Linked DNA regions of Drosophila melanogaster. The protein of the gene in region 3 interacts with the protein of the main gene of each other region in a biochemical or structural test. Each region holds a gene or a part of one and is shown on either strand. Other genes may lie near its edges.

The links.
Region 1: the proteins of Atg8a (region 3) and bchs form a complex in vitro, tested with the Drosophila melanogaster proteins (one study listed by BioGRID).
Region 2: the proteins of Atg8a (region 3) and dwg form a complex in vitro, tested with the Drosophila melanogaster proteins (one study listed by BioGRID).

The regions. Positions count from the first base shown.
Region 1 is NT_033779.5:5,905,572-5,911,493, reverse strand, and holds the start of bchs (blue cheese), read right to left. Parts: upstream 4,326-5,922; 5' UTR 4,207-4,325; intron 3,182-4,206; 5' UTR 3,150-3,181; coding exon 2,859-3,149; intron 2,805-2,858; coding exon 2,559-2,804; exon of another isoform or gene 2,447-2,558; coding exon of another isoform or gene 1,250-2,446; exon of another isoform or gene 1,205-1,249; intron 1,078-1,204; coding exon 723-1,077; intron 664-722; coding exon 477-663; intron 422-476; coding exon 1-421. Other genes in the region: CG14000 (uncharacterized protein), read left to right, coding at 1,250-2,446.
Region 2 is NC_004354.4:2,725,856-2,731,867, reverse strand, and holds dwg (deformed wings), read right to left. Parts: upstream 4,171-6,012; 5' UTR 4,037-4,170; coding exon 3,605-4,036; intron 3,324-3,604; coding exon 2,934-3,323; intron 2,872-2,933; coding exon 1,915-2,871; 3' UTR 1,826-1,914; downstream 1-1,825. Other genes in the region: ttm50 (tiny tim 50), read left to right, coding at 1-78, 151-334, 391-919, 979-1,102, 1,162-1,352; vilya, read right to left, coding at 4,384-4,576, 4,641-5,161; fs(1)Ya (female sterile (1) young arrest), read right to left, coding at 5,377-6,012.
Region 3 is NC_004354.4:10,764,009-10,771,209, reverse strand, and holds Atg8a (Autophagy-related 8a), read left to right. Parts: upstream 1-2,871; 5' UTR 2,872-3,139; coding exon 3,140-3,229; intron 3,230-3,903; exon of another isoform or gene 3,904-4,042; coding exon of another isoform or gene 4,043-4,057; intron 4,058-4,553; exon of another isoform or gene 4,554-4,832; coding exon of another isoform or gene 4,833-4,880; intron 4,881-5,407; coding exon 5,408-5,605; intron 5,606-5,674; coding exon 5,675-5,752; 3' UTR 5,753-6,332; downstream 6,333-7,201. Other genes in the region: BTBD9 (BTB (POZ) domain containing 9), read right to left, coding at 138-647, 709-1,155, 1,224-1,862, 1,917-2,489.

The DNA.
Region 1 (5,922 bases), on a different chromosome or scaffold from region 3:
GTTCAGTTGGAAGACAATGAACTCCAGCAGATCGTAGAATTTTTCTTGTATTTGCGGGCTTTTCATGTGTATCCGCTCTGCGAACGAACTAAGCGTTTGCTCCGATTCCAGGATAAAGTAGTTGGCATTTTCCGAGTGGTACACCCGCGAAATGGCGTCCAGTATTGTGCAGCAGAGCGCAGGCGTCGTTGACTTAAGGAACACGTTCTGCAGCACCTGGAAGGCGTACACATTTCGCACGCATGTCTCTCGTGAGGTGGCCTGTGGGAGCTGGAAGTTCTGCAGTTTGAAAGCCGTATTAAACTGCGAGGCTGGCGGTCGAAGCTCGTAAAAGCCACACATGCACAACGAAGAGATCATCAGTACCAGATTTCGAATGGCCGCTTGAATCTCCAATGATTGGCTACGATTGTTGTCAAACCTAAAAATTAATATGAATATTAAGAAGTGCTTAAAAAAAGAACTATTGTACTTACTTGAGTAGAAAATCACTGAGAAACACGTAACCTTGAGATGCACGAAAATCATCCATCAAAATCTGGGATACCTGACTGGAGTCCTTGAGAAAGCAGAACACGGTGACGAACATTTCAACGATCTCCAAAGGATTTCCAAACGTCAGGCGCTGCATATTGTCCACGCAAAGTGCCATGCAGCCCTTGGCTAAATTAAGAAACATTTTAAGAATATTTAGTCATAATGATTAAGTCCACCATACTTACAATGTATATAGCTAACTACGGCATCGGTTAGGCCATTCCTTGATATTGTGGTCAGGATTTCAGCTGCGTTCTTGCGCCATACAATATTGTGGATGGGACATGGCGATGTGATGGCCGAGAATAGCAGCGTCAAGTCGTCCATGCGAGCTAGTTCCTCAGCGGGATACGGATACGAGCACAGCTTGACCAGCAGCTGCACAAACACCTTCTGCAGAAGCGTCCGCCTTTCATGGGCATTAAACTCACTTACTGCTCCACCGTCAGCTGAAGGCTCATCGTCCTCAACTATGGGCAGGTCGAAGAACAAGTACAAGCACTTCACTAAAGTAGAGGGAACCGCCGCAGCAGTCATGACCTGAAATGCAGCAATATTAGAATTGCTTAGTTAGTTTAGATTTAACATCTTAATTTAAGCCCGCAGCCCCGGCGGTGTTTTGTATTTTGAGATACAACTTTTCCCGCAGAACCTTTTTCATCTGTTGCCAAAACTAAATCTAAACCATTTTAAACTAGAATACGTCTGTGAAATGAACCAGGTTTGGGTGTTTTTTAAACTCATCGAGGTGTTGCTGGGCAGTGTTTGTATGTTTTTCCACATACGCGGCTCATCCTACTGGCCAGAGCGTACTCCTCATGTGATCCTATATTGTGCCACATTTTCGTCCTTTACGGCGCTCGCCGCTCTAGGCGCGTTCCGACTGCTATTGGCTAGGAGTACGGTGCTCTCCTCCCAGCTCCTGCTCACACTGAGTGCCGTGCTGTCGCACTATTTCTGCGGCGTGCTGATAATGCGCACCGCCATGCTGGACCCTCACCTGGCCTTCATCAATTCTACCATCGAGTATCTGGAACATCCGCACTTTGCGCACTGCAAGCAGCAGAGCATCGCTGCGCTGGTTACTGGCACCATGTACCTGATGCACATGTTCCACGTGTTCGACCTGCTGATGCGCATGGAACCCGGCGACTGGAAACGTCAGGCGACTGGCCGTAAGTACTTTGAGGGAACAGAGTCTGGTTCAACCGGGCTATTTGTGCTTTCCAAGCCAGTGGACGACTTTCTATGCAAATGCTGCAGGTGCTACTATAAGTTGGCCAATTCTCAGATCCTGTACTTCCGGCCGAACGCGGAGGTGGAGCAGCCGCACTTTATAGTCCGCATGTGGCAGTTCATTGGGGATGCGCGTAAAAAGTTCTTTTCGCTGCATCAGATCGAGAGTGACGAGAGTTTTCTATCAACGCCAACAATAACCACCAGTGAATCGGATATCACACCGGTGGACACGGAGTACAGTGTGTACATGGAAGAGCAGGCCAATAAGATGCGCAGGTCTGCTTCAGCCTGGCGCGGCTCCAGCGATTCCTCGAGCTTGTGGGCCAAAATCGAGGACAGGAGCACTGTTAGCCTTGTTTCAACTCGGTCAAGTGAGAACAGCGAGGCCACAATGAAACCCATTCAAATGGATCGGAAGCTAGCCCGGCGATCTTCCATGTGGGCGGACACTGAGAAAAGGGAGAAATCGGAGATTTTGCTGGTAGAACAGGGCTCTAGCTATTCTCGGCTCAGAACTTTAAGCAATGCTGAATTGGTCCATAAGCCAAGCGATGCGGGAGAAAAGGAACAACAAGTTCCAGATGCAGCCAACCCAAATATTACAAATGAAGAAGCTACGAACTCACACATCGAATTCTCTTTGAAGCCTGGAACTGAGAAAACTTCGTGAATTTGATGACGACTTTCCCTAACGAAAATTGTAGCTATTGAAATTTTTTGTTTTGATTACGTCGATGTATTTTTACCATAAGATACTATAGCAGTTTATAAATGAAACATACCTGTATGAGAGATACGTCTCCATTGGCCAACAAATTGAGGGTAGCCAAAAGCATCCATCCGCTGCTGGTTTCCTCGGTGGTTTCCACCTCGAGAAACTTGACTATGGCAATGGATGCCGCCTCTGTGCTCTGGTTGGAGGCGCGCTTGCGGATTTCGCTGACCATGAGACGGGACACTTGCTGGCAGAAGGCGACCACGTCCCAGAACTTTTCGCTCATGTCGTTTGACGGACAGCTGCTGAAGACCTGTAAGAATGGGGAGTTAGTGGCCTATTCCTCCATACCGACTGATTCACTCACTTTGCAGAAGAGGGGCAGCATCTCGTAGAGCTTGTCATCGCGCTCCTGTTCGCTCAGCGGCTCCCGCGGATGAGTGTATTCGTTGAATAGCTTCTTTAGCGTGGTGAGGCTCACTTGGACGCGGGCGTCCATCAGCGCCTCCTCCGCATTCCGTCCATTTGCAGCGGTCGGTGCACCAGCATCCGTTCTGCTGCTCCCTGGTGAACTGTTGTTCGCCGTCGAGGTTCCGCTACTGCTGCCGCTGACGCTGCCTGCGCTGGCCGCTCCGCGCAGCTTACGCATTACATTCATCTTTGTGTTTGTTGATTTGCGGTAAGATTAATCTAAAAGAGAGAAAATTAAGTTGACTTAATACAAAATATAAGACTAATCTAATGGCTGTACTATGAGGAATGTCATTGATTTTTTTGCAAGGGGGTGGCACTTTCTACATGTGTTTTAATAATGGTGATTCACTTGTTTACAATGTTATGCCGTTTAAAAAGATTATATATTATTCGATAAAGGTGTAAAAAGATATTTCATAGTATTTTGAAACTTTTTACTGCTGTAGTTTAATGAACTTTCCCACTTTCATGCAGGTTTCAGTTCAAAACGTGTCGCTTCGCATTTAAACATATGTTTCCATAGAACCTGTGCTTATTGTAGATATTGTATCTTTTGAACATTGGAGGTGAGATATTTTGGCGATTTATTTGCACAGCACTGACACTTTCAATTGAGTGGCTTCCAAATCACAACCGCGCACAGTGCAGTTGGCGTTATGGCTTGTTTTCGCAGCTATTCTATTTCTGCTGCCGCCGCCTTAATTAGCGGCCGCTGGAGGTGAATCACACGAAAAGTGCGATCATTGTATTCGGTGCGAGTATTAACTTTTCGCGAGTGAATGAACGTTGCCTCTGTCGCCGACTCGATTCGATTCGTACGCCTACATAGCGAGCAAGCGATTAACCGATAGTGGTTATTATTCCATATATTCGGGAAATATTTACATTTTGTGCGAGACAGCTGTTCTTGGTTTACTTATTGCGCACTTGTTTGTTTACTCCAACTCCCTTTGAAACTACCGACTATCTGACCTCTCTTTTCTGCCAACGCATTTGGTTCAGCTAACGGCCGCTCTGTTGTTGCTTTTTCGTAGTCCGCTTAGCGCTCTCTTTCGTGTCGCACTTTGTTTTGCTCCAGTCAATCGCGCCTCACGACAATTTTATTGATTTTTCTTCCTCTCTCGCGTACTCTCACTCGGCCTCTCTGCCCGCCACCCACCCTTGAACAAACCAGCAGATAGGTCGAATTTGAAAATTTTCACATGCACTTTTCCGGCTTATTTCGTGCAGCCGTCACTTACTTTTGCTATCCGTCGCTAGCATTGTGTTTCCCGTGTGAGTTTTCACTATTTTGGGCCCTAAATGCACTCGTTTTACATCTTGTTTCACGTATGAAAATATGAACCAAATTTTCTCCAGCTTTTCGTCTGTACTCTCTTTTCGTTATTCTGTCGAGTGTTGCGTAGCGCTGCCAGTGGTATCAGCTGTTCACATTTTCCACCACCGCAGCCAGTGCTCATTAAGACCAAACGCCAGTGCTGCATTTTGAATTATGATCGGCGGTCTAGCTTTGGCATTTCAAATTCAACTGTACTGATAAGCAAATAAACAAGACCGATTTGTATTAATCTACTTCATTTTATTATTTTTATTTAATACAAAATCTTTTGTATGTCGCCAACGATGTGCTTATCTTCAGATTGTATATATTAGATCGCTTACTAAACTAATGGCAACAGTTTAATAGAACTAAACTGATTTATCTCATAAACTTAGCATCTAAATTGATACTTAATTAGCACTTACTTAATGTTCATGTGTGCTCATAATTAAGTTCATTATTGTTAATAATATTATATGAGTGCTTTCGCATCTCGGCTAACAATTGGTATTCTTAGGCCATTGGCCATTAATTTCCAAATTTCTCTCTCGCCCAATATTCGCATGAGTGTGAGATTCTTTATTGATTCTGGCTAGGGGTTATTAATATTTGTGTTTGTACTTACAGTTGTTATAATTGTCAGCATCAACAGATAGCTGTCGGATATGACAACAAATTTATTTGCATATTGATTGAACGAACACCCGATGGCGAACTTCATGCGTTGATAATGATGCTATTTGCTGACTCATTTGTGGCAGAGAATGCTGTAAGTTTATTGGGATTGATTGATTGGTAAGGCCATTAAATGCCACGCACGTCCTTCTGATCTAATTTCCCTGTACCCGAAACCAATTCGCTGTGTCTCCCCATTTTAATGCGGATAAAATTTCGTTTTTGAATCAATTAGGGGTGCAAAAGAATAAAGGCGTGTCGTGCTAAATATTTAGTTAGTAGTTATCCCCATGACCAACTGCCTCGCTCCCCAAAAATAGTTTACCTTTGGGCGTTGGCCCCGCCACGCCCACTGACCCCTTGCGTGACTGCCCGTATCCACCCGCTCCCACAGTCCTCTTCAGTTTTCCAGCTAGCCAGCCAGCCACATAAGCTAAGCTCGGAGTTCCCTAATGCTTGTTTATGTGGGAAAGCGTTTGGGATTGGCACTTCTCCAGGTATTATATCTTCCCACCCAGACAGGTACTTTGCGCACTTTCCCGCCCGACAAACCCCCCACCGCGATTTGTGGGGCAGGGTTGTGGGGAAAGTCCTTTGTCTGCGGCAATATTCTAATGGATTTTTCCGTTTCAGTTATAAATAGAGGCCCCCTACAACTGACAAAAACGGGAACAATATCTCAGGTGCCAAGAAGGGGTAGACCAGTAAAATGATATTCGGTAGATTGATAGCGCACTAAAAAAAAAAACTCGTGAAGTTGGCGCGAACATTCTATTTACATACAAACTCTTATGAGTAAAGTGACATCAGCCTATTTCATCCGCTTAATCTTCCTTTAAAGGTGAAGTGCAATACCCAGCAAAATTTTAAGTGGATTTTTAAGTGAATTTTCCGAGGACCGCATATGCTGCTCGAGGCGTTTCCGGAAAATTTAAAAGTGTAACCCCAAAAATCATTTGCA
Region 2 (6,012 bases), 8.0 Mb from region 3:
CTTGCACAGCACTGCCAGCGGCTGCTCCGGCGCTCTTCTCGATCCTGCACACAGCGCGTGGCTACAGCAGCACAACCAGTAAGTGATTCACGGTAGAGTCCTAAACAGTAGAGTCCTAAACATTCATCCTTGGCCACTTTCGTTTCGCAGAGCAGGAAGCTGGAGCCACTGGCCCCAATGATGCGCCCGAGGTCGCACCGAATGCCCCGCTGCTGGCCAAGCTCTTTCCTCAGACCTCGCCGGAGGTGGACAGCAACGCCGAGCAGGAGCGCAAGAAGCGCGAGGAGGAGGAGGAAAAGGAGAACGAGCGTGCCTGGAAGCGCATGAAGCTGGGGTAAGCTGACGCCCATTCAATGCGTAACAGTATTATAACAATACTTCCTGCTGCAGCTTTGCAATATTCGGAGGCAGCGCCGTGGCTGCTGGATTCTGGGCCGTCTACGAGTTCGGCAAGCCCGAGGTGGACCCCAACGGGCAGCCCATCGAGGACGAGTTCACACACAAGCCGCTGGTACAGCAGTATCTGCAGCGGATGTGGAAGAGCATTCACTACTATCAGCGCATGATCCAGGAGCCGTCGCGCGCCAAACTGCTGCCCGATCCGCTCAAGCCGCCGTACGTGCAGCCGCGCTACACGCTTGTGCTGGAGATGAAGGACGTGCTGGTGCATCCGGACTGGACTTACCAAACTGGCTGGCGCTTCAAGAAGCGTCCCGGCGTCGACCACTTTCTGGCCGAGTGCGCCAAGGACTTTGAAATTGTCGTCTTCACCGCCGAACAGGGCATGACCGTGTTCCCCATCCTGGATGCCCTCGATCCCAACGGCTACATTATGTACCGCCTGGTCAGGGATGCCACGCACTTTGTGGACGGCCATCATGTGAAGAACCTGGACAACCTTAATCGCGACCTCAAGAAGGCAAGTCATGCACAACGTATTTTCTATTGCAATCATCTATAAAGAAGGGAGTATTTTAGGTGATTGTTGTGGACTGGGATGCGAATGCCACCAAGATGCATCCGGACAACACATTCGGCTTGGCCCGCTGGCATGGCAACGACGATGATGGCCAACTGCTGGACCTTATCGCTTTCCTAAAGAGTAAGTTGCGCCACAAGTGACATTGAAAGCTAAACACTGACCCTTGCAATTCGCTACAGTAATTGCGCAGAACAACGTGGACGACGTGCGCGAGGTGCTCCACTACTATCGCCAGTTCGACGATCCCATCAACCAGTTCCGGGAGAACCAGCGCAAGCTGGCCGAACAAATGCTGGAGGCGGAACGCATCGAGCAGTCCAAGACCAAGCCAATGGTCAAACAGTGGTCGCGCAACATTCTCGGCCGCTAGGAGGCTGGCCATACCGCACAACCCGTTCCATACGCATACCTTAACCTTCCGCCTGCGCCGGAGCAACAAACACGCCCTGCAGCAGCACACTGGCCATATTTTTCGTCGACTTTTGGAGTAGTTAGTGGGAAGCAGTAGCAGACAGCAGACAGCAGGATTGGGAGGCACGCTCTGTCTTTTGCTCCTTTGGGAAAAGACGAGGCGCATGTTTTTGTTTTATTGAATAACTAAACTTGCTTGTTTTTGTTTTTTGGCAATTTAATCGTAATATTATTATTATAAAGAGACGACTTAACCGTAAAACCAAAAACAAGACATCCATGTGTTTCGTTACGAAAGTGGAGAACTTGCTGTGCGTTATCTAATCACAATTGATGGATAAGAGTGGCTAAACCTGCTGAGATAGTTATCGTGAAAACAAAATTATTTTTATGTATGTAAAAAATAAGTGTCGAATTTTCTTTCAGTTTTTTCTGGAACAAAAATCAGTTTTATTGAACTAAGTGTCTAATCCTTAGCCTAGGCTTACATTCTAGAGCCGCTCCCACGGCTTGGTGGCCGCTCACAGCACCATCACCACTTTGGAGGTGGACACCGGCTGCTCATGAACTTCGGTTATGTGAAGGTTGGTTGCCGATCCACCGGTCGCACCTCCACCGGTCGGACTTCCACCTGTCGCACCTCCGCCTGTCGCACCTTCTGCGCCCGCTTGTCGGCTGGGAGGATTGATGGACTGAACAGCAACGGTGGCCGTCACCGGCGACTCCTTGTTGTGGACGCGCATATGACTGGCCAGTCGCTTCTTTGTGGGAAAGGCCTTAACGCAGACCTCGCACTTAAACGGCTTTTCGCCGGAATGGAGGCGAACATGGGCATTGAGGTTGCTGGTAAAGGTGAAGGCATGCCCGCAAACATCACACTTGTGCGCCTTGACGCCACTGTGGACCATCATGTGCTTCTTGTAGCCCGACTTCTGAGACAGTCCCACGCCGCAGATCTCGCAGGTGAAAGCCTTCTTGCCGGTGTGGCTTATCTTGTGCTGGCGCAGCGAGGACGAATCGTAGTAGGCCTTGTCGCACAGATCGCAGGCGTATGGTCGCTCGCCCGTGTGCGTGAGCTTGTGGCGCCGCAGATGATCGAACGCCGCATATCCGCGGCCGCACTGATCGCAGTTGTAGGGTTTCTTCTCCGCATGAGTTCTCTTGTGCACTGCCAGACTGGAGGTGGTACGATAGAAGCGGCCGCATATGCTGCACTGGTGCGGCTTGACATTTGTGTGTGTCAGCATGTGTTCCTTGTAGTTGCGTAGGTGCTTCAGACGCTTGCCACACTCCTCGCACTCGTATTGCTTCTCGTCCACGTGGGAGCGCATGTGCTGGTTGAGACGGCACTGCTGGCGGAACGCCTTCTGGCACACGGTGCACACGTACGGCAGCGCCTCGCCAGCGGTCGGCGGCGCTGAGTCCAGCGACTCCTCCAGGAAGTCCTCATCTTCGCAGACATCCTCCGCCTCCGGCAGCTGTGTGTAGGTGAATGGAGGATAAATGGTATTCTAGTGCAATATAATTTGACCTTTCTCACCAGATGCTCCTCGCGCCCATCCCCCTCCAATTCGAGGGTCTCCTCGCCGATGACCTCGTCAATGGCTCCCTCGGCGGGTATCACAATCATCTGACAGTCCAGTATGGCGTCGTGGGCGCCGGAGTCGTTCATCACCTCGAACTCATCCTCCTCCGTGACGATCGTTTCGAACTCATTCTTAATGGTCACATACTCCACTTCGGCGGGCTGAAACTCATGCACGCTCTCCATAGTGATGTGTTCCTCCTGCTGGTCGCCCGACTGTGCCAGCTGGTGCTCCTCCTCCGACAGCTCGTCATCCTGATCCACCTCCTCGGTGAGAAACTCCTCCTCCTCATCCACGGTCATCGCGAAGATGCGACGATCCTCCTCTGCTAGTTCTTCATCCAACTGCGGATGAAGAAGGTGTTATGGTTTTACTTTGGAGTTAGACTTGATGAAGCCCATCTCCTATTTAGACGTAGTGTCACCAAGAGCAGACAAGTTATCCATTGTATGGAGGTACAGGTTGCACTCCTTTGGCACCGACCTACCCTACTACATCCCAAAGAGCCACAATATAAGTGAATCGATTTGAGTGACTGGTGCCCGCTGTGAGCAATCGTTAATCCTCTATGGGAGTGGACAAGAACCATTGCATTCCATTGCACCGTGAAGTGATAGATACTTACATTGGCGACGTTCTCCTGCTCCTCGTTGAGCATCTCGATCATGACGTACTCCTCGGTGGAGTCGAACGCCTGCTGTTGCTGGTCGTGCTGCTGGCTCTGGTTGGGGCTATGAGTCTGACTCTCGTGAAAGCTGGAGCAGCGCGCCTCGTCCAGGCCCAGGCGGAGCAGCTCGTCCGAATCGATGACCATGCGCTTGAAGTTGAACGCCTGTTCCAGCAGCTGCAGGCAGTGGAGGCAGATGTGCTGCGGCATGGCGGCGCCGTCTTGCGGCTCGAACGAGAGTCCCGTGCAGTAGTTTAGCATGCTGGCCAGCGTGGTGCTGCCCTCCGAACCCAGATCGATCTCCTCCTGCAGCGGCTTGTGCAGCTTGCAGGCACGCGTGCACGTCCGGCAGTTGAGCACCACTACCTCGGCGATCTTGCTATTCATCATGATGTCCTTATCCGCTTTCCCCTGTGGTTCTTGTCGGACAGCGCCGGATTTGCCGCTTTTATGACGTTTCGCTCTTCTACTTCTTGCAATTCAATTTTTATGCGTTTTTAGAGCAGATGCTTATGCGATATTATCGGTGCAGCAGTCATCGATGGATTTCGATTAATCGAATTCACTTTCAACACTTCTGTTATCCTAACGAAACTGTTAATTGAAACTTAACGGTCGCTGTTAACTTAGCAGTTTATTATTTTAAAGCTTATGACACCATTTTATTGTTTTAAGCTGATTATTTACAAAAAATATATACTCGGTTGTAAAACAGAGCTTTACCTATCAGCACTAGCTCACAGATCGAACGAGTTGTTCGGCGGGTGTATGAAGCTGGTGATTTGCTGCCGCTTTGCTGATTCCGTTGATCGGCGTCGACTGGAGGACTGTGTGGCTGTTCCACGGCCACGAGGACGTCCGCGCGCCGAGCGTTGGGCGGATGACGAGGATTGCGAAGTCAGCGAGCGGCTTCGGTAGGCCTGGGCCATCCTAAGGCGGGTAGAAATATAATGCATTAATGGGAACTATTTTCAATGGAATCCAAATGTCGCACCGATGCATTTCCGCCTTCCGATTGGCGACTTCCGCCTTAATGTAGCGCGACCTCTGCATCAGCTTCTTGCGCTCCACGCGCAGCATCTGCGCCTCCAGGAAGCGTTTCTGGCACACGGACTTGGCCACCTCGATGTCCTTGAACAGCTTATCCATCTCCAGTTCCTTCCTCTCCTTGTACTTGTCGAAGTGCCGATGATTGCCGCGCTGGAACGTCTCCACAAAGTCGTTGCCGATGGTGAAGGGCTCCGGATGGAAGAGCTGCTTGAAGTGGTTGGGCATCGAGTTGGTCAACTGGCGGCCGCGCACGCTCCGCCGACAGGTGGAGCATTCGAATATGGGCGCGTCGCTGGGCGTGCGGCCGGCGGAGACCTTGACGCACCGCTCGCAGAACACGTGATGGCAGGCGAGCAGGAAGAAGGTGTGCTTCTTATCGCAGAACAGGGCGCAGCAGCTGTTGCAGTGGATCCACAGCTTGGACGCCTCCGGCTCGACAGTCTGACCTGCTTGTGATTTCGCCATGGGCGCTCCGTTAAGCTTTTCGATCTTGTGCGCAACTAATTAATAACAGAATCAATAGATAGAGTTGGCAGCTCTGAATGAGACGAGCTAAGCTCCTGGACCTGCCAACTCCTGCTGCGCATAACGGTTAATGCAAGACCAAACATTTATTAAACGATAAAAAAAAAGAAGAATTTCACAATTAAAACACAGATTCGCAGGCAAAAGCTTAAAACCTACTGGCGACGCATGCGCTCGATGGGCTCCCTGGGCCGGATGCGGTAGCGCTTCGAGGAGCTGGACGGCGACAGCGGGCTACAGTACTGGCTGTCCAGCGTCTGAGTGCGCTTTCTCTTGAGGCACTGCTGGTCCTCCATGGAGGAGTCCCTTGCACTGGGGCGCACCAGGGATCCAGCGATGGAGGCGCAGCGACGGATGAGTGAGCCCGAACCAGCGTTCTCCTTATCCGAATCCCTGTCCCTGTCCCTGTCCTTTTCGCGTTCGCCGCGCAAGCTGGCCGGCAGTCGCATCATGGAACTCATCAGCGACCACAGGCGACCGGAGTTGGGCGCCTCCAGCTTTTTGTCGTTGCACGTGGAGGCGTTTGTGGGGCGGAACACCTCGTCCTCCTCTTCTGCGTCCACGACCTCCGGCTCGCCCACATCCTGCACGCCGCTATAGACCCTCTGCTGACGGCATTCCCGCAACGGAGGACGCACCCTGGGTTGCTGCAATGGCGGCGAGATCAGGGCCATCACCGCCAGCCCCTTCTCCTTCGGCTTATCCTTCTTGGGCGAAAACTCGCCGCTCAGCTGGCGCGGCACAATCGCCTGGCGATGACGACGCTCTGGAATTTCCGGCGTTCCCGGTTC
Region 3 (7,201 bases):
AGCATTGGGGCACTGGGAAGGACTAGATAACAAGAGCAGCACGGTCTGCAAAATATAACTAAGCGCGGAGACTAACAGCTAACAGACCACAGGAGTATTTCAAGTACAAAACATTATCGGCCGCAGCGGCGATCAGCTCAGAGCGTCTCCCTGGTGTCAAGCTCAACCAATGGCGGCACTGGCTCCAACTCCGCACTCTGGCTTCTGCTCCTACTTAGGCTGGGACTGGGGTTGCTCCTTGAACTTGGACTGGTGTGGTGGCTTGCGTCTGCACTGATATTACTTGGCTGATTTTGTTCATGGTTGTTATGCGGCGACGAGGTTGCCGGGGTCAGAGGAGCCGGAAGTGCTGGCGTGCCGGGCGGGGAGAGTGCTGGCGGAGTGAGTGGGGCAACGGCCACTTCCCTTGTCTGTGGCGGCCAGTGGATGGACCTTAAAACGCTTTGGCTGCTGCTGGAGGAAGTGGAGGGACTTTCAGCATGGCCTGAAGCCAACGAGGATCCCGAGGTAGAGGCAATATTGTCATCGTCAGTCTTGGCCGTCTTCTTCTCCTTCTCCCTCTTCTCGCGCTCCTTCTCCATGTCGGCTATCTTCTTTAAGTAGTTTTTGTCCTGGGTCGGACATTCGAGGTGGACGCAGTGGAAGATCTAAGAGCAAGGAGAGCATTAGCTTATCGGACATGTTTTGTGGCGCTGCACTGCTACGTACCTCATTCGCTGTGTTGCGTGTGCCCACAATGCGGATATAGACCACTGGACGCGGAGTAAAGTGAAAGTTCTGCCAGGAGCGGGTCCTGTCGTTGCGGCGGTCCACGACCATTTGCCATTCCTTGCGGTTCGTCGAAATTTCGATGTAGAAGCTGTAGGTGCGATCATCGCAGTCCCACAGCAACAGCCTCATTGAGCCCAAATAGTAGGGTTGGCCCAAACGGACGACGATCTCGCCGCTGCCCAATTGGTGGCAAGTATATCCCGAGTCCCAGTCGTAGCGCACATAATCGCCGTTGATAAGCGCGTTGCGGGTGCGACTCACGCCGTCCGTCACAATGGCGCTCATCTCTACGGTGGCCACGTTCGTCTTGGGCGCCACAAAATGGTTAACTAAACGCGGCACCTTGGCCGTGTGCATGGCTTCCAGACCCACAACATGGAATACCTATATATTAATGGAAAGGGAAAAAGTTAAAGAATGGGGAAAGTTTGAAGAGATCACTGCTGACTTACCCGGTTTACAGTGTTCTGGGTGCCCACCAGTCGAATGAATCTGACGGGTCGTGCTTCGAAGTATAAGTATTGCCAGGAGCGGCAGTGGTAGTCGCTGTAGTCGACCACGCGATCCCAATGCTGCTGGTCGCCGGACACCTCAACGTAGTAGGAGTACGCCCGGCTGTCTCTGTCCCAGAGCAGCATGCGAATGTGATTGATCATGCAGAACGTGCCCAATTCGACCACAATGCCCGCATCTTTGCTGTCCGTAATGCAGTGGCGCGTATACCCGTTCTCCATGTCATAGGTGGTCACATCTCCATCCAGCAGCGCGTCGCGACACTCTCCCTGGATGCAGCGCGACAAAAACGTCTCCGCGGCCACGTTTTCCTCCGGCCAGAGCGCCGCCCTGTAGGGCAGCGCCTTTGAAGTGCTGCGCTCGTCGATGGCGTCGAGAATCTTGTCGGGATCCAGGATGCCCGAGGGACGCACCACCTGCAGCAGATGCTCGAGGTTCATCAGTGGCAGGCGGACATAACTAACCACGGACTTGAAGTCCACGTTGCTATTGAAGCGGCTCCACTTCCACACGGCCAAAAAGATCTGCACCTCGGGGGCGAAGAAGCAGTCACGCCGTAGTACCTCCTCCAGCGATTCCTGTAAGCATTACATACTCTTAGTGCCAACTTTACCAATTGGTTGTGAACTTACCTTGGATAGCGTATTGAAGCTGTTGTGCAGCAGCAGGTCGCCGGCATTGCGATCCATGAACATTAGGCAAACCTCGGTGAGTTCCTCTAGATTGTATAGACGCGCCGCATCAAGAATCATGCAGACATTGTCCAAGGCCAGATACTGGCGTAAATAATTCGATATGGCCATCTCCAGATCCTGGAAACCATACTGATTGGCCATGCCCAGCACATCGATGGTGGAATCCTCGTCCAATGTGGACAGCAGCAGTGTGCCCGAGTAAATGTAGCGCAGCAGCACCTTGAACGCTTCCAGCGGCACCTCAAGCGGTATTTGGCGCTGTGTGGTCTCCGCCATGCCGCCGTACAGCAGCGCCCGGAAGTATTCGCTGCGTGCCGCGAGTATGACGCGGTGGGCGGGTATGCGCTCCTCCTCGACGATGAACTCCACGTCCGCGTACTGTTCGTTCATGCAGAGGCGCGCCATGTCCGCTGAGAAGCGATCGCCCAGATCGACCACGTCGGTGTAGTCCTGCTCCATGGCGCCCTTCTTGCCGCCGCCGGACATCTTATGGTGTCCCTGGCTGCTCATCCTTCTCTTTTTTGTTTTTCTTCCGTGCGATGTGTATTTATGTGTGTAAGCAGCCAGAGGGAACAGTTGACAATTAACGTTTCGTCTCGCCTGCTGCGTCAATCCATCGATGACAGTTAGTGATATCGATAATATCGATGGCACAATAGGGATTCTTCTATTGCGGCGAAAAACTGTTATATGTGCAGTGTGACCGTAGGTGTGTATACCATTTAACGCGTACAACAACCATATCGACAGCCGTCTGCTAGCGAGCACATGAACCACATGGTTGCATCCGATAACATTTAGCGAATACATGAACCAAATGGTGTCTGTCTAATATGCCACCACTATTAGCGCGTTTCGGGTTGGTGTCTCTGCGCGCTCACTGGTCACACACGGTCAGTCTAGCCACAGCAGTTAGCGAGTGCAGTCACCACAGTGCGAGTGCTTATCGATAAAACCAGCAAGTCATCGATTTTTAGACCGAAGCGCTCTGTCAACTGCTGCGCACGGTCACTCTACACAAGTATTTCGTACCGTTTGTACGAGAAAACAGAGAAGAGAAAAACACAAGCTCAGCAACGCATCGATATTCGGCACAGTCCCAAAAGCAAACGAAGTGATAGAAGCTGCGTTTCTTAGCCAATTACCTCTTCATTGCAATCATGAAGTTCCAATACAAGGAGGAGCACGCCTTCGAGAAGCGTCGCGCCGAGGGCGACAAGATCCGTCGCAAATATCCAGACCGTGTGCCCGTAAGTACTCAAAAATATATATATAAATGCATATAGGTATAAAGAGACGTGTGTGTGTGTGTATATATGCGTGCGAGTGTGTGTGTATGTGCGAGCTTCTGTGTATGCGTTTGTTTTGCGTCGTTTTTTTTCTCGCTCTTTTTTTTTGTGTTTGCACCGAAGAAAATCAATACTGCGCATATTGGGTATTTCGATTGTTATTACAATATTATTGCACTGGCACATCAGGTGGCTGGGGAAATTTGTGCGATGGGTATTGCATAAAGTGCATTTTGCATTACTGGTGGGGGGAACAGGCGACAAGCTCTCAAAAGAAATTCAAACGAAAATTCTGCCCCCTGCATACACACATACGCACGCATACACGCGCACACAGGCACACAGATGTCGACAGGAAAAAACAAAAGCAAAAAAAGGGAGAGAACAAAGCAGCCGTTTCACTTGCTCAGCTGTTGTGATGTTGTTGTTTTCAGTGCTAGATTTCATCTGTGCCACCTCTTCCTCTCCTCTATCCCACCCTCTGGCTACACAGCAAGAAAATCGCATATATCTATCTGTCATCATAATTTAGTTACAAGCAAAGTTTTGACCACCCCGTTTTTTTTCTGTGTGTGCACCAACCAGTTGTTTTCGATTTTAATTTCGTTTGTTTGTTGGCAAAACGAGCGAGTACTGCGCATAAAAAAAGTCACTAATACTCACTAATACACACTTATACTAGCGCTGCTTGTTTTGTTTTTCGCAAATACACAAAGTGCGACTGGAATTAGTCATAGATGCGCTGCTGAACACAAAACAAAAATAATAAAAAAAATGGAAAACAGAAAGGTTGAAAAAAACAAAAACATCTTCTGCTTCTTCTTTGTTGTTTTTCTGCTATGTATGTATGCATTTCACCACGTTATCAGCGAAAACTCCTTTCACAAAAACCAAAACAAAACCAAACGAAACGAAACGACAAACTGCTGAAGGTGCCCCAATCGCAGCGAAAAGTGCAGTTCTTGTTTTCGATTTTGATTCGGACTGCATATGCATATGTATATATGTACAAATATGTACATATGTGCGCTATATATGCACCCCCGAAATATTATTGCCAGTGTTATTTTAGTGTTTTTTTTTTTTGGCAAGTGCAGCAGTGCCAAATCACAAATCACATAACAGCTGAGCGAGGGGCAAGGCCAGCTGGTCGCTCGGACCACCAGCATATCCATATATATCCGAATTCTATAGAATATACTTAGTACATACATACGTACTAGCACATCTCATACTTGTGCCTTGAGTTCGGCCAATGACGATAACGAATTTCGATAGAACACTAGTGTATAGAGGGGTGGCATTCGCGACAAGCAGTTTTTGCCCATTTCGTATTCACTATGTTGGCACCCGCTTCCTGTTCCAAAAAAAAAAAATTGGACAAACCAGTTTGCCAATAATTTGGCTAAGGCTAACTAATGAGCCCCTGGCTAGAACGGATCGTCTAGTCTAGGCCAGCTAGCAATTATTCCAGAGCCAAGGAAATGCAGTAGATTCGTTACAAAGCTCACTTCAATGACCAACTTGGTCGTCTTGGTGATCAATTTGGCTAAAATGCTGTAAAATGTGTATGTGTTTTTGCATAATGAACAAAAAAAAACAGATGATACAGGTGAACTTGAATGTAAACAGGTGCTAGAAATCTTAATTATATTACAAAACATATACCCCTTGAAAAATGCATTGAATTTGGCTTAAAAATAATATGTGAACAAAAACACACGTGTGTGTAATTACACATTCCAACTTACGAAATTCCAAAATGCATTACGAAATTACTGACTGAAATTACGAAATTACTCATTTTCCTGTCTAAATATAATATGAGTCAGGCCAATAACAATCAGGTATAGTTGTTCGTAAACAAATTAGTTTTCAATTAATATTAAGGTATTTTGTACACTAGATAGCAAGCATCAGAATTCATAAGACTATAGTTTATGTTTTCGGCATTATCATATTCCAAGGTAGCACGTATTCGAGCACACTTGCTTCCAGCAATGCAAATGCCATTTGTAGCCAAATATGTGAGCCTTATTGGGCACGTAATCAGGTGCGAAATGTGCGCACATTAACATGCACAAGTAGCCCGCAACAACAACTCACCTCCTGTATTTCTTCTTCTATTTAAACCCAAAGGTCATCGTCGAGAAGGCTCCCAAGGCGCGCATCGGTGATTTGGACAAGAAGAAGTACCTGGTGCCTTCCGACCTGACCGTCGGTCAGTTCTACTTCCTCATTCGCAAGCGCATCCACCTGCGTCCCGAGGATGCCCTCTTCTTCTTTGTGAACAACGTCATTCCACCAACATCGGCTACCATGGGCTCCCTGTACCAGGTAATTACCACAATGCCCATTATTATTAGCCTTGCAATCGAATCACATACGTTCGATGTATTTTTATAGGAACATCACGAGGAGGACTATTTCCTGTACATTGCCTACTCCGATGAGAATGTTTACGGCATGGCCAAAATTAACTAACTTTGCTCCGGTCGGGATGCATCGGAATGAAGCCCCCCCCCTATACAGAAATCTATATATAAATAAAATATATTTTGTGTTTAGCATGCAAGCTTACAATATGGACGGCGAGTTAGCTAAACGAATTGAGGAAAACCGCAGGAAATGCCACATGAAAAGAACTTGAAATTGATCTGATACGCAGGGCAACAAAAAAAATCCACAAAAACCGAAAACTACAAAAACAATTGTTATGTGAACATTATTTTATATATATACATTTTCCAAACGCGTTAGTATTTCAATTAAACTCTGCTTTGTGTCCTACCCATTAACGAAACAACCAACCAACCAACTTTCCCCACAAAAAACAGATCTATTCACACCCTTTCTGGGCCATTTAATTTCCATTGCTGTAATTGATCCGTGCGAATGCTTTGTACTTTACTTTGTTACTTTGCTAATATTTCAATGAATTCACTATTTTTTTTTTTATTCACGATGCAACAAAATTCTGTGCATATTTAGTGTGTATGGTTACGAATAGGACTCTCTCGGTTAAGTGTACGGTAATTAATCTATTATTAAATAAACAAAAACCACAAAAATACACATGCAAAGGGTGTTTGTTTATTTGGATTGTTCTTCGTTTTCAGTTTGCAATCACGTATATCACGCTTAGATGATTCAGCGATAAGTGACAGGAAGAAGTTATTTTATACTGCTTTTTCTTTTGTTCACCGAACAATGAGTCCTTATCTTTTAAAAATGAAATGAGCTTTAGCAATGAGTGGGTGTTTTTTTTTATTCTTTGCTATTAGTAACAAAAGCATTTATTTATTTTAAATTGAAGGCGTAAAAGGTAGTACTTATGATACCATTCGCAACGCAAAAGTTTAAGTGTGCAAATTAAATTGAAAAGAAATCACTTTGTTTATTGTTTGCTTATCTTATCGCAGCAAAGGCACTTTGCTAGCCATTCAAAATTGCCGCCCACAAACGTTTTTATGGGCAGCACTGTCATCAAAACACAGCTGGTCACACCATCAAGTGCTGCAAAGCAATATCTCAAGTCAGCCATAAGGAGAGCATGTGCTAAAAAGGGACAGCTCCACACAATAAGTACGATTAAATTGCGATATATTTTTGGTAGTTAGTATTTTTGACGCATTTGGCGGACGACTGAGCACGTTTGAATTTCGTGGATTTTTTAGCCAATTTCACCATCTGGCAACACTGTTCGTTGGCCTCGCAGTTTTTCACCGAAAAGGTTTTGTAAAAACACCGTGCCAAACTGTCAGAGAAGCAGGTAAACTAAAGTCCACCTTGTCGGATCGGCCACTGAAAAGCCGGATTAAACAAACAACGGACACGTTACCGAACAGCTCGGAAAGGTGCAGAAAGGAAACATCAGATGAAAATCTATTAGCTGTTGCGAATTGTTTGTTTTTGCTGTGCTATTCGTGTTTT